Linked DNA regions of Rattus norvegicus. The protein of the gene in region 2 purifies or fractionates together with the protein of the main gene of each other region. This does not show direct contact. Links are inferred from orthologs where the notes say so. Each region holds a gene or a part of one and is shown on either strand. Other genes may lie near its edges.

Evidence for each region.
Region 1: the proteins of Foxm1 (region 2) and Ccnb1 purify together in Homo sapiens (affinity purification with western blotting; 4 studies listed by BioGRID, with this or other methods). This does not show direct contact. The link is inferred for Rattus norvegicus from reciprocal best matches to the Homo sapiens genes FOXM1 and CCNB1.
Region 3: the proteins of Foxm1 (region 2) and Mybl2 purify together in Homo sapiens (affinity purification with western blotting; 3 studies listed by BioGRID and IntAct, with this or other methods). This does not show direct contact. The link is inferred for Rattus norvegicus from reciprocal best matches to the Homo sapiens genes FOXM1 and MYBL2.

What each region holds. Positions count from the first base shown.
Region 1 is NC_086020.1:33,652,345-33,656,451, forward strand, and holds the start of Ccnb1 (G2/mitotic-specific cyclin-B1), read right to left. Parts: upstream 2,882-4,107; 5' UTR 2,781-2,881; coding exon 2,760-2,780; intron 2,277-2,759; coding exon 2,115-2,276; intron 2,021-2,114; coding exon 1,871-2,020; intron 1-1,870. UniProt on the Homo sapiens protein: Essential for the control of the cell cycle at the G2/M (mitosis) transition.
Region 2 is NC_086022.1:163,324,239-163,328,467, forward strand, and holds the start of Foxm1 (forkhead box protein M1), read left to right. Parts: upstream 1-1,389; 5' UTR 1,390-1,551; intron 1,552-3,592; 5' UTR 3,593-3,636; coding exon 3,637-4,141; intron 4,142-4,229. UniProt on the Homo sapiens protein: Transcription factor regulating the expression of cell cycle genes essential for DNA replication and mitosis. Plays a role in the control of cell proliferation. Also plays a role in DNA break repair, participating in the DNA damage checkpoint response.
Region 3 is NC_086021.1:172,134,707-172,138,349, reverse strand, and holds part of Mybl2 (myb-related protein B), read right to left. Parts: intron 569-3,643; coding exon 409-568; intron 1-408. UniProt on the Homo sapiens protein: Transcription factor involved in the regulation of cell survival, proliferation, and differentiation. Transactivates the expression of the CLU gene.

The DNA.
Region 1 (4,107 bases), on a different chromosome or scaffold from region 2:
TGGTGGCTCACAACCGTCTGTAACGGGATTCAATGTCCTCTTCTGGTGTGTTTGAAGACAGCTGCAGTGTACTCACATACATAAATCTTTAAAAAAAACAAACAATTCTAACAATCAGAAAACAGTTCTAACAATCAGAGCCAGGCATGGTTAATATAAGCTTTGATCCCAGCACCTGGAAGGCAGGTCTCTGAGTTGAAGCCAGCCTGGTCTCCATAGCAAACTGCAAGCCAGCAAGATCTGGTCTCATAAAAAAATAAGCCCCAATTTAGATTCAGGTAGTTTAAAGTACGAAGAAGTGGGCTGGCAAGACGGGTAAAGGTACCTGTTGCTAAGCCTAACAACTGAGTTCAACCCCCAGGAGATCCACATGGTGGAAGAACTGACTCAAAAGCTGTCTTCTAAGGGGTTGGGGATTTAGCTCAGTGGTAGAGTGCTTGCCTAGGAAGCGCAAGGCCCTGGGTTCGGTCCCCAGCTCCGAAGGGGGAAAAAAAAAAAGCTGTCTCTGACTTCTCTGTGTATTCTCACACAAAATACAAGAGAGCATGGGAGCTGGAGAACTGTCTCAGCAGTTAAAGAGCCCTTGATACTCCATGAGGACCAGAATTCAGATCCTAGCATCCACACTGGGTGGCTCACAAATGCTTGTTACTCCAGCTCCAAAGGAGTCTCTCTTCAGATACATACGATTGGGCACACACAGGACTCTATAGATACTAACATGTAAGGCAAGTCAAAGGAAACGAGCAGGTAAGTGATAATAAAGCCATTTATTCATCAGCATCATGTGAGGTCAATTCAAAAGAATGCCAAGCCTTCAATTATCAATTAATCAATTATTCAGGTGAATACAAGTTCTTGATTACAAACCCAGAGAGCCCTAGCTAGCCTTGAGCATTCAACCCTCCTGCCTTAGAGGAAGTACTAAAATCACAAACATGCACCATCACACCTAGTAGTAAAATCTGGCGGTGTGTGTGTGTGGTTTTAGTACTCAAGGACTGAACCCAGAGCATCCCTATGCTAAACACAATCTAACAGGCTACGAACTCAGGTAAACTTCCATTTGGGGCTTAAATGTTAACCCATCAACATTAATCCATCATCTTTTTTTTTTTTAAAGATTTATTTATTTATTATATATAAGTACACTGTAGCTGTCTTCAGACACACCAGAAGAGGGCATCAGATCCCATTACAGATGGTTGTGAGCCACCATGTGGTTGCTGGGATTTGAACTCAGGACCTTTGGAAGAGCAGTCAGTGCTCTTAACCTCTGAGCCATCTCTCCAGCCCTATTTTTTTTTTTTAAACGGTTTCACTAGATGCAGCTCTGTCTGGACTGGATCTTACTATATACACAGCCCGCCTTGAACTTAGAGGCCCACCTGCCTCTAGGCCAGAATGCTGGGATTGGAAGATGTGTTACCAAGGACCCTATTTAATTAATCTTATTTCTGTCTGAGATTTTTTTTTCCTTTTAAAGAAACCAATTAAAAGATCTAGCCTGAATATATCACCCCAGCATTGGAGAGGTGGGAATCTCAAACTCAAGGACAGCGGAAGCTATACAGTTACACAAAAAAGAAAATGATTATGCCACCTCTGGATCCCAGGCCTCGAGGGGCAGGCAAACCTCTATGTTCCAGGCCAGCCAGGAGCACACAGTGAGACTGTCTACATAAAACAAGAGCCCTACCATATTTATCTGCCACCATCTGAAGCAGAGTGCTAATACTTACCCTAGAGCTGTTAGTGCACGTAAAATGCACTAACCACTCAATAAACAATATATTTAAATGCCGTCGTGTGCATCAACATGAAATGAAGTCAGAGAGGAGGAATACACTTTTTAAAATGCTAAGTTTACCAAAATAGGCTCAGGAGAGTGTTTCACTTCCATAACAGGTTCAGGCTCAGGCTCATCCAGTTCCACCTCTGGTTCGCACACTGGCACCTTGTCCACAGGTTTTGGTAGGGCTTTAACAGTAACTGTTCCAGAACCTAACTTTTTTGTTTCCTGTGGATGAAAGTGAAAGAACAGAATGTTTTTCCAACGGTGACACCTAGAAGATGGGCTTTTTCAGGATAACTGGACCAGGAAGATAAGTTACCTTTTTGAGGGGTATTCTTGACTGTTCGCTGACTTTATTACCAATGTCTCCAAGAGCAGTTCTCGATCTCAGCAGGGGTTTGGAGGCAGCAACTGCCACAGGCACACGCTTGGCGCCTGCCATGCTGACCTTGGCCTTATTTTCTGTGTTAATTTTCGTGTTCTGAAAGAAGTAAGAACCACTTGAGAGAGGATCCATGGCGGCTCCAGGAAGTCATGGGTTAATTAAGGCGGGACCCCACTATGGAAAGCAAGGGCTCTAGGATCTATCCTCCAGCCCTGACAAGCAGGTTTCCACCCAAAACGTTCACCTATTATCCAATTTCCCTTTAAGTCCCAAGCAATCCTAAACACGGTGAAATTTACATCGGAAAGGTAATCATGAAAGCCTCCTTGTAGACAGCTCTCTGGGAAGACTCTGGGCAGACAGACTCTGGGAAGATTCACTCTGGGCCTTCATCATTAAAAGCACACCACCCTACTCCCTCTAAGTCCTTCAGCCCAGATATGTCCCGAAGTCTTTTTTCACCCTCCAGGGAGGGTCCTTAGCTCCTCCATTGGCCGGAACCTTCCGGGCATCCCCTTCCCCTCCTGGCCGCCGCGGCCTTCTCCCACAGCGAGGACCGCAGCGCCCGGCCCGACTCACCCTAGTGACCCTGAGCGCCATGGCTCCTCCTGAAGCAGAGGTTCGCCGATCTGAGAAGACACCCTAACCTCTGGCTGCCCACACCTAAACACTAACAGCCGTTCCCCCACAGCACGCCGGGAGGAGTCTGCCGGGCCTGGGTTTAAACCCCGGGCCGCTCCCTCCTCATTGGTCAGTTCATGGCACTCGCTCTCTTCCCATTGGTGCTGCGGGTTCCCGTAGAATGCGTTTCCTGGGCGATCCCGCGATCCCAAGTTCGGCGAGGGGTGGGGCCAGAGCGAGGCTGTAGCTGGCAGCACCGCCCACCCCTCGTGAGGTCAAGCTCTGCGCCTGCGCACTCGCCTCTTTGCTGCCACCTGCTTTAGGTAGGCTTGGCCGGCAATGCCCACTTGTGTGCTGTCCAAGGCAACTCCGTTGGACCTTAGGAAAATGACTGTGGGGCCGCCACGTTTCTGGAGCACGCATAACAGTTTTGCTGTCCTATTTATTGTTTCTCTTTTTAAAAATAGATTTATTTATTTAGTATATATAAGTACACTGTAGCTGTCTTCAGACACACCAGAAGAGGGCATCTGATCCCATTACAGACGGTTATGAATGAGCCACCATGTGGTTGCTGGGATTTGAACAGGATCTCTGGAAGAGCAGTCAGTGCTCTTAACCGCTGAGCCATCTCTCCAGCCCCTACTTACTGTTTCTCATCCTCATCTACAGAAGTGCCAGTACTATCTTAAGAGTTCGCGAAAGCTTTGAAGCAGAGACAGTCTTTAGTATGATTGTTCCGACCGCTGCCTGGGATGGATTTTGAGGTTTATAGCATGAAGTTATAGCCTAAGCAAATAGATTAACATACCAATCGCCCCAATAGCTACTGCCCCAGGGACAAAAGAAAATGTGCCACATGCTTAATTTCGCTCCTGTTTAAGATTACTTCAAAAATACAGTTTTGTAGAATCTATTCTATTTAACAAGAATCCATAATGCAGCACTCCATCCTTCTACCTCAGACACCTTATTAAGGCTAAATAACTTCAGTGAAATCTTTTTCCACATTAAATTTCAGTAACATCAATGAGGATTTATTTATTTGTTGACCAGGATCTCTTGTAGCACAGGTTGTTGGCATTCCTTCTATGCTCTGCCCAACAGTTACCTAGCAACAGCCAGATAGGCCAGTTTGCTATAAAAAAAGAACTGCTTCTCTCCTCCTCTCCTTTCCCTTCCCCTCCCTTCCCCCTTCTCTCTGTCCTCTGTCCCCTCTCTTTCTCTGTCTCTATTCCTTTCTCAACTCCCTTTCCCATGCCCCCAAATAAACTATTCTGTACTAAACCCATCATGGCTGGTATCT
Region 2 (4,229 bases):
AATCTAAGTCAGGTTTTGCACAATCTTGGCCTTTTTTTTTTTTTTTTAATTTTGAGATAGAGTCTTACTATGTAGCCTTGGCTAGCCTGGGGCTGGCTATGAATACCTGGCTGGCCTGGAATTCACAGAGATCCGCCTGCTTCTGCCTCCTGGGTGCTGGGATTAAAGGCGTGAGCCACCACATTCTGGTGTCAGTGAAAACCCACCAGCCTCTAACCTGTTCACCTCTCAAACACAGTCTTTATCTGCTCCCCATCTCATAGCATACCACGCCCCCTAAGTCTTAGTTCAAATCCCTGTGACCTTCAGCCTTTGTGTTCACCAGCCTAGCCTCCTCCAGTCAAAACATCTCCCTTCTTTTTTTTTTTTTTTTTGGTCTTTTTTTCGGAGCTGGGGACCGAACCCAGGGCCTTGTGCTTCCTAGGCAAGCGCTCTACCACTGAGCTAAATCCCCAGCCCCAAACATCTCCCTTCTTAATCTAGCTGCTTCAATGTTTCCTTCCCTTCTGTGTAATGGGTGACAGATCTTACACCTTGTTCTCAGCTCATAAGGAAGGAAGGAAGGAAGGAAGGAAGGAAGGAAGGAAGGAAGGAAGGAAGGAAGGAAGGAAGGAAAAAGAGAGGAAGAAAGAAAGGAAAAAGAAAGGCTTTCCTGCCCTAAGTCAAGATTTTCTCGTTAAAATAAATACTCAAATTTATCACTGGCGGCTGCGGGAGGGCGAGCCAGTGACCCGGGCTACTCCGAAGGCGGAAACACGAGAATCGAGAATTCTACACATGGGGATACCCGGGGTCAGACAAAACCCACCGGCCTCTAACCTGTTCCTCTGTAGCTAGAATTCTACCGATCTGTTCATCTCATTCTGGGCTCCCTCTCCATCAGACCACCGGTGAGCCCAGGGGAAGGACGGCCCGGTCTGCCACTGTACCTTCCACTCTTTCGTAAAGTATGGAAAAAAGATCGTCCGGACACCTCGGGGCTGGGCCCGAGGTGGAGGCGGCCACAGACAGGGGCGGGGCGTAGGGCACTTAACCGCAAGTCTGGGGACAGAAACCCAAGCTGGACCCCACGCAGCAACGAGGGCTGAGCCGCGCGGTGGATCCAGAGGTAGCCCAGTGGGTAGCTAACCGGGGGAGTGGCGTACGCTGCCCCGGAAGGAAGTCGACCACGGAGGCAGGGCGGTCCGGGGCGGGGCGGAGCAGGCTGCTGGCCGCGGTCCGCGCGTCCCCGCGTCCCTCCCGCCGTCCCTCGAGCTCCGGGGCCCCCTTACCCGCCCTCCCGGCCGCGGCCGCCGCTCCTCAGGACGCCGAGCGTTCGGGGCCGGAACCCGGAGACAAGCCGGTGCCGATTGGCGACGCTCCGTCACGTGACCGCAACGCTCCGCCGGCGCCAATTTCAAACAGCGGAACAACTGAAAGCGGCGCTGCGGGACCCACCCCCGGCCCGGGCTCACCCCCCACCCCGCCCCGGGTTCCCACCCCGGCCGTCCCGCCGGGACCCGCCCGCCCTGGCCTGGCTCGGCCCCGCGTGGAGCAGCGGTGGCCTGTGAGGTGAGTGGGGTGCGACCCGGTCCGGGGAGGGCTTGGAGTCGGGACTGCCGGGGCTGTGGGGCGCGAGGGGGTGTTGAGGACCGCCAGGAAGAAAGTCTGAGCCGCCGGCCTCGGCTTTCCCGCCGCGTTCTCCGAGCACCCCGGGACCCTGGGAACAGGCCTGCCCTCTGAGTCTGCACTTGCAGTCAACCCTGCCTCCGCCTCCACAGCTGCAGGGTGGGATCCTAGCTGAGCGTTGCAAGGTTCCCGGTTCTGTGTGGAGAATGGGGTCTTTGGGGATGGCTCTGCAAGTCGCCTTGCGCTAGAAGATTTTGGGAGTGTTAGGAAAAGGCTGGTCAAAGAGAGAGGTACCCTATGGTGGGGGGTGTCTACCATTTGATTGGGGTGGGTGCAGTGTGAAGCAAAACGAGAACTGAGATTTGAAGGTCGAGAGAACGAAGTATAAAGGAGAGAAAGCTACAGGGAGGAAGGGACCTAAGAAGGCTAAGCAGCTGGCAAATGTCAAAAAAGTGTAATTACTTTTTGGAAGGTTTCCTAAAGTGCCGGCTGTTTCTCCCTTTCTCGCAGGATTGCAAAATGGAGTGGCAGGATTTAATTTAATGATAAATTATTCTATCTATCTATAAAAACCTATGAAATGCTTTTTCTAAAGACTTCCTTCCTTAGCATTTCAAAGTGACTTTAGCATAGCCAGGCATAGTGGTGAATGCCTGTAATCTCAGCACCTAGAAAATTGGGGGCCAAAGGCTCAGTGGTTCAAAACCAGCCTGGGCTACATGAGACGCTATCTCAAAAATTAAAGCCACCTTAAGCATATTAATGATAGCACATTTTGGTATGGAGAAGATCTGTATTACAGTCTTTAGAAGCAGAAAAATCAAGTATTATACTTATAAAACTAAAATATAGTTACTCTCAAGTACCAAAATGTCACTGTGCAAATGCTTTGCAGATTTTGAAAGAAAGAATGGGACTGGAGAGATGGCTCAGTGGTTATTGACAACTATTGAAAAAAATTATTTTTAATTCAAGAGGATTGGAGTTTTTAATTGTAGTGTGCTTACCAAGCATTCACAAAGCTCCAGGTTCAATTCCTACCACTACCTAAACCTGGCATTGTAGCCACACCTGTGATTCTGGCAGGTGGAGGCAGGAGAATCAGACGTGTAGGTCAGCTGCATTATTTGAGACGGAAAGAAAAGGGCACTAGGACTATGGCTTGGGTAGAGTCTTTCATTCGTCCCTACAGTCATCGAGAGTGACCTGCATTCTAGTGGACAGTGGCTGGTATTTCCACATTCTTGTAGATGTGTATTCCTCTGGCCAAACATTCAAAAAGAGGTTTTTGCATTTTTACTGGGGCGGGGGTTGGGGAGGAGGGTTGCCCACATGCCACAGCACATGTATGGAGGTTGGAGGGTAACAGTCAGGAGCTGATTCTCTCTTCCCACCATCGTGGTCCTGGGGACTGAATGCAGGTGGCCAGGCTTAGCAGCTGATGGTTTCGGTCATTGAGCCATCTTGCCAGCCTCCCCTCCCTCCCAAATCTTTCTAGTTTGTTTGCCTTTTTGTAGTACTGGGAACTGAACTTAGGGCCTTGCTAAGCAAGCACTCTATTACTAAGCTACATTCTCAGCCTGGCCAAACATTCTTAAGCTTACAGGGGACCATGCACTTCAGTGCAGTCCCATGTTCCCATCTTGAAGTGTTTGCTGCAGTTTTCAGCTTTCCTTGGTCAGTGATAGGGCTTTATTTGTTTGTTCTTGTTTGCTCGTTTGTTTTTGAGACAGGGTCTCATGTGGCCCATGCTGACCTTGAATTCACTCTCTGGCTAAGGGTGACCTTAAACCTTCTAGGTGCTGGGATCACAAGTGTGCATCAAACCTAGCTTCTGTCCTTATTGTCTGAGGGTTGGACAAAGGTCCAGGCAGGATTCCCCTGGGCCTTTGAGCTTCTGCTTCTGTCTGTTCATGCAGAGGAACACTTCCAGTTTGTCTCAGCCCAGCAGATCTGATAGCAAGCTTCTCCTTGCCCTCTGCAGGGTCAAAGCTTGTGATTCTCGATGGAGAGTGAAAGCACAGCTTCATGATGAGAACCAGCCCCCGGCGGCCACTGATTCTCAAGAGACGGAGGCTGCCCCTTCCTATTCAAAATGCCCCGAGTGAAACCTCAGAGGAAGAAGCAAAGAGATCCCCTGGACAGCAGGAGCCTACTCAAGCACAGGCCTCCCAAGATGTGGCAGAGTCCAGCTCTTGCAAATTTCCAGCTGGAATCAAGATTATCAACCACCCAACCATGCCCAACACACAAGTGGTGGCTATCCCCAACAACGCGGACATCCAGAGCATCATCACAGCGCTGACTGCCAAAGGGAAAGAGAGTGGCAGCAGTGGGCCCAACAAGTTCATCCTCATCAGCTCTGGTGGGGCCTCATCTCATCCTCCTGATCCTCAATCTCAAGCCCAAACCAGCACTGATTCCAAGAGAACAGAACTGATCACCGAGACGTTGGGACCAAAGCCAGGGGCTAAGGGTGTGCCTGTTCCCAAGCCACCTGGAGCTCTTCCAAGGCAAAGACAGGAGAGCTGTGGTATGTGGTCTGCAAGGGTGTGGAGGTTGGCTTTTCTCCTCACTGGAAAGGTCTTCAGTGTGTCACACTGATGTCTGTGGTAGGCAGG
Region 3 (3,643 bases), on a different chromosome or scaffold from region 2:
CCTGTCTCACAAGATGCACCCCTCCCCCATCCCCCCCCCCAAAAGAAAGAAAGAAAAAAACATATAAGTCACCATGACGAGTTGTCCTCTGACCTCCACACGGGCAGATTGACGGGAAGACAGTCACTGAGAGGACAGAGCCTTAGGACCTCTCCCCAGTGTTACCCATCATCCTCAGTGTTACCCATCATACCACTGCTCTCCCCTCCTGAATGAGAACTAGGGCTAGCTGGTCTGTCACAAGCAAAGCTCTAGAAACATGCTGGCCACACTCAGATCCTAGGCAGAAAATGGGTGAGTGGCTCTGGGGAAGTTCTTGGGGAGATTGGGTCAGATGACCAGGAAATAAAGCAAACCAACCAGCCTGGAACCGAGCCCAGAGAACGAGCCCCAAGGCTGCCCACTCACCGGGCCTTCCACAGGCTGGACATTCTGTTGGTAATCCTTGTCCTCGAGCTCCAAGAGCAAGTAGACAGGCTTGCAGTCTCTGGACTCGTTTGGGAACCCTCCCGTGTCGACTTTCCTTTTGATGGTGGAATTCCAGTGATTCTTCACAGCATTGTCTGTCCTGAGGAAGAAAAAAATCCAGGGCCTCTGACATGCAGCTCTCAGCGGCTGCAGCTTATCCACACATCTGTAAGTGAAGTGTTGCAACCAAGGTGACTGCAGAGGGAGGTGAGGCTACTGCACGATCGAGGCCAATCAAGCCCCACAGAGGAGTTCCGAGTTCCCAACCGAGAATCAAGGGAGGCCCCCAAAGATAATATGCATGGGTTTACCCCGAGAAAAGAGCCAGCTCAGACTCAGGTGACACTTGGCACCTGCCTTCCTCTCTATTCTCCCAGGATCACACTGCAACAACAAAGGAAGACTGGAAACAAAGCCAGAGAGCAAAGGTGTAGCAACAGGAAGGGCCCTGGGAAGAAGTGGCAGCAGGTGAGCTTGTGGAAGTTACCAGAAGATGGAAAGCGGACAACAGCCAGCCCAGGAGACTAGGAGTTCAAACCAAATTGACCTTACAGGAGGATTCGAGTCAGAACCAATTCATTCCTAGGCTCCTCCCAGAACTGCAGGAGCCCCAGGACTGGAGTGAGGAACCCAGGTTAAGTAAGCACAACAGCTGTCCAACCTCCAAGGCAGGAGGTTTCCTCTTTAGAGAGAAATAACCCAGCAACTGTGGCCACAACACACAGGTCAGAAACTGGGGTTCCATGGAAATCTGTACCCTGGAGGTGAGGTCCCCATACCCCATCTACGTACCCTGGGGGCCCAGGCAACAATGTTCTTAAAGGAATTACCTGCCTCTGGGGAAATGATTAACTCCAGAGGAAAGGTCCTTGGAATGTCCTCCCAAAGGGCCTGTGGACACCAAACACTGCAGTAAAGGCCATCAGCAGATAAGCAGTAAAGGCATTCACAGATAAGCTCAACCACAGTCACTGACTGCTTCTTAACTGCACTGGGGCGTCCACAGACCAGCATCCCTTCACAGCAAACCTCCCCCGTTAACCAATACGGATGGGTCAGCAAAGAGAGAGAAACACACGGCCAGTGATTCTCAAATTTCCTAACGCTGTGGTGACCCCAACCATAAAGTCACTCCCACTGCTACTTCCTAACCGTACTTTTGCTTCCGTTGTAAACTGTAAATACCTGTGTTTGTCATTTGACCGTCAAAAGGGGTCACCACCAGAGGTCGTGAACCACTACACCAGACAGACAGACAGACAGACAGACAGACCGACAGACAGGCACAGAAGGTGTTTTGGTCATTTTAGCAGCTGCAAACATACATTAGGAACTTGGTCCAAAAAGGAGAATTTAGAAAACAAAAACTTCTCAGCCAAAGTAATTTCCAAAGGATTGGAAGGTTAAAACAAATAAAAAAAAATAAGAAATGTCCCAGGACGCGTGAAACCAAAGAGAGAAGGAAAAGATGAAGGCATCATAATGCTCTCAATATTCTGAACAAAAGTTATTTTTAAGCTCTGTACCTACTCAACTCATCTATTAAGTGGGAGATAGAATTGAGGACAGAGCTCAGGATGCTAATGAAGGGTGTGCTCCACTAAAACAAGGAAGTAAACAACAGAAAAGGAGGGTTCATTCTAACAGTGAGAGGTCAAAGACAAGCAACTTAACAGGGCGGCAGTCACAGCACAGAGGAACCGGGCTCCACCTGCATACTTTATCTAGGGACTAAAGACGTGCCTGTGTCTGAGGCTGAAGAGGACAAAGGATCCCTGAAGTGAGTTACAGAGGGCTGCTAGGCACCACGTGGCTGCTGGGAACTGATCCCAGGTCCTCCGCAGAGCAGCAAGATATGCTGAGCCATCTCTCCAACCCTGTTTCCCTCCCTCCCATCCTCTGTTTTTCAAGAGGGTTTCTCTGTGTTGCCCTGGCTACCTGGGAACTCTGTAGACCAGGCTGGTCTTGAACTCACAGGCATCCATTAGCCTCTGCCTCCCAAGTGCCTGTATTAAAGGTGTGTGCCACCACTGCCCAGCTCTTACCTTTCTTAATAAGCTACTTCTGTTCCACAACTAACTTAAAAAGGCATGGCTTTCTCTCCATCTCCTGGTGGGTGCTGGAACTTACACTTACCCGGAACTATGTCTTTCTCTTAAACTTTTAATAAAATTGTCTTTATTAAAACAAACAAACAAACAAACAGTGGAGGGGGAAACACTTAGAACAAAAGCCAGAGAATAAGGAAATATACTCATAGACAGTACTAGCAGATTAGTTCTATGTCTGAGGCATCATAGTGTAACTTCTGTTGTCCTAACTACTAAGATCCCCTGCCTCTGCTTCCTAGGTGCTGGGGGAAGGGCGTGCATCACCAGCACCTGGACCAACATCTACTTCACTTTAATTAATAACTTGGAGTCAGCTGGGAGGCGGGGGTGCACACCTTTAATCCCAGCACTTGAGAGGCAGAGGCAGAGGCAGGCGGATTTCTGTGAGATCAAGGCCAGTTTATATAGGCAGAGTTCCGGGATAGCTAGGGCTATGGAAGGCCCCTGTCTCCAAAAGAGCATGCAAGTAAGCTCGGAACCAGCCAGCAAGCAGGGTTGCCCCTTGGTTCTGGTTTCAAGTTCTTGCTTTATCCCTCGATGATTAACGGTGACCTGGAAGTGCAAGCCAAGTCAACCCTTCTCTCTCCAACTTGCTTTAGGTGAAGTGTTTTATATCACTGCAACAGAAAGGAAACTAGGATAGGATATACTGTAGGCAATGGGGTGGGAGGGAGGGTCAGAGTCGCAGGGAGTTAAATCCTCCATGGCTGAAAACCAGGATGGAAACCATCACAGTGGATGAGGAGACAGACAGCCCAGCAGCAGTTAACAGCATTCCCTCTTCCAGAAGATCTTGATTTGATCCCAGCACCCACAGACCAGCTCACAACTGGCCTCCTCAGGCACCAGGCATGCACATGGTACGGACACACAAGTAGGCAAAACACTCACATACATTAAATAGACTGTCCAGGCATGGTGGTACATATCCACATTAGTATCATTTGTGAAGCCAAGGTCACAAGTTCGAGAAGTCAGCCCAGGTTCAACATCTGGGGACAGAAACTAGTGTTTCTCCCATCAGATTCCCCCTAACAGGGTTCAACCAGACTTCCTAGTACTGT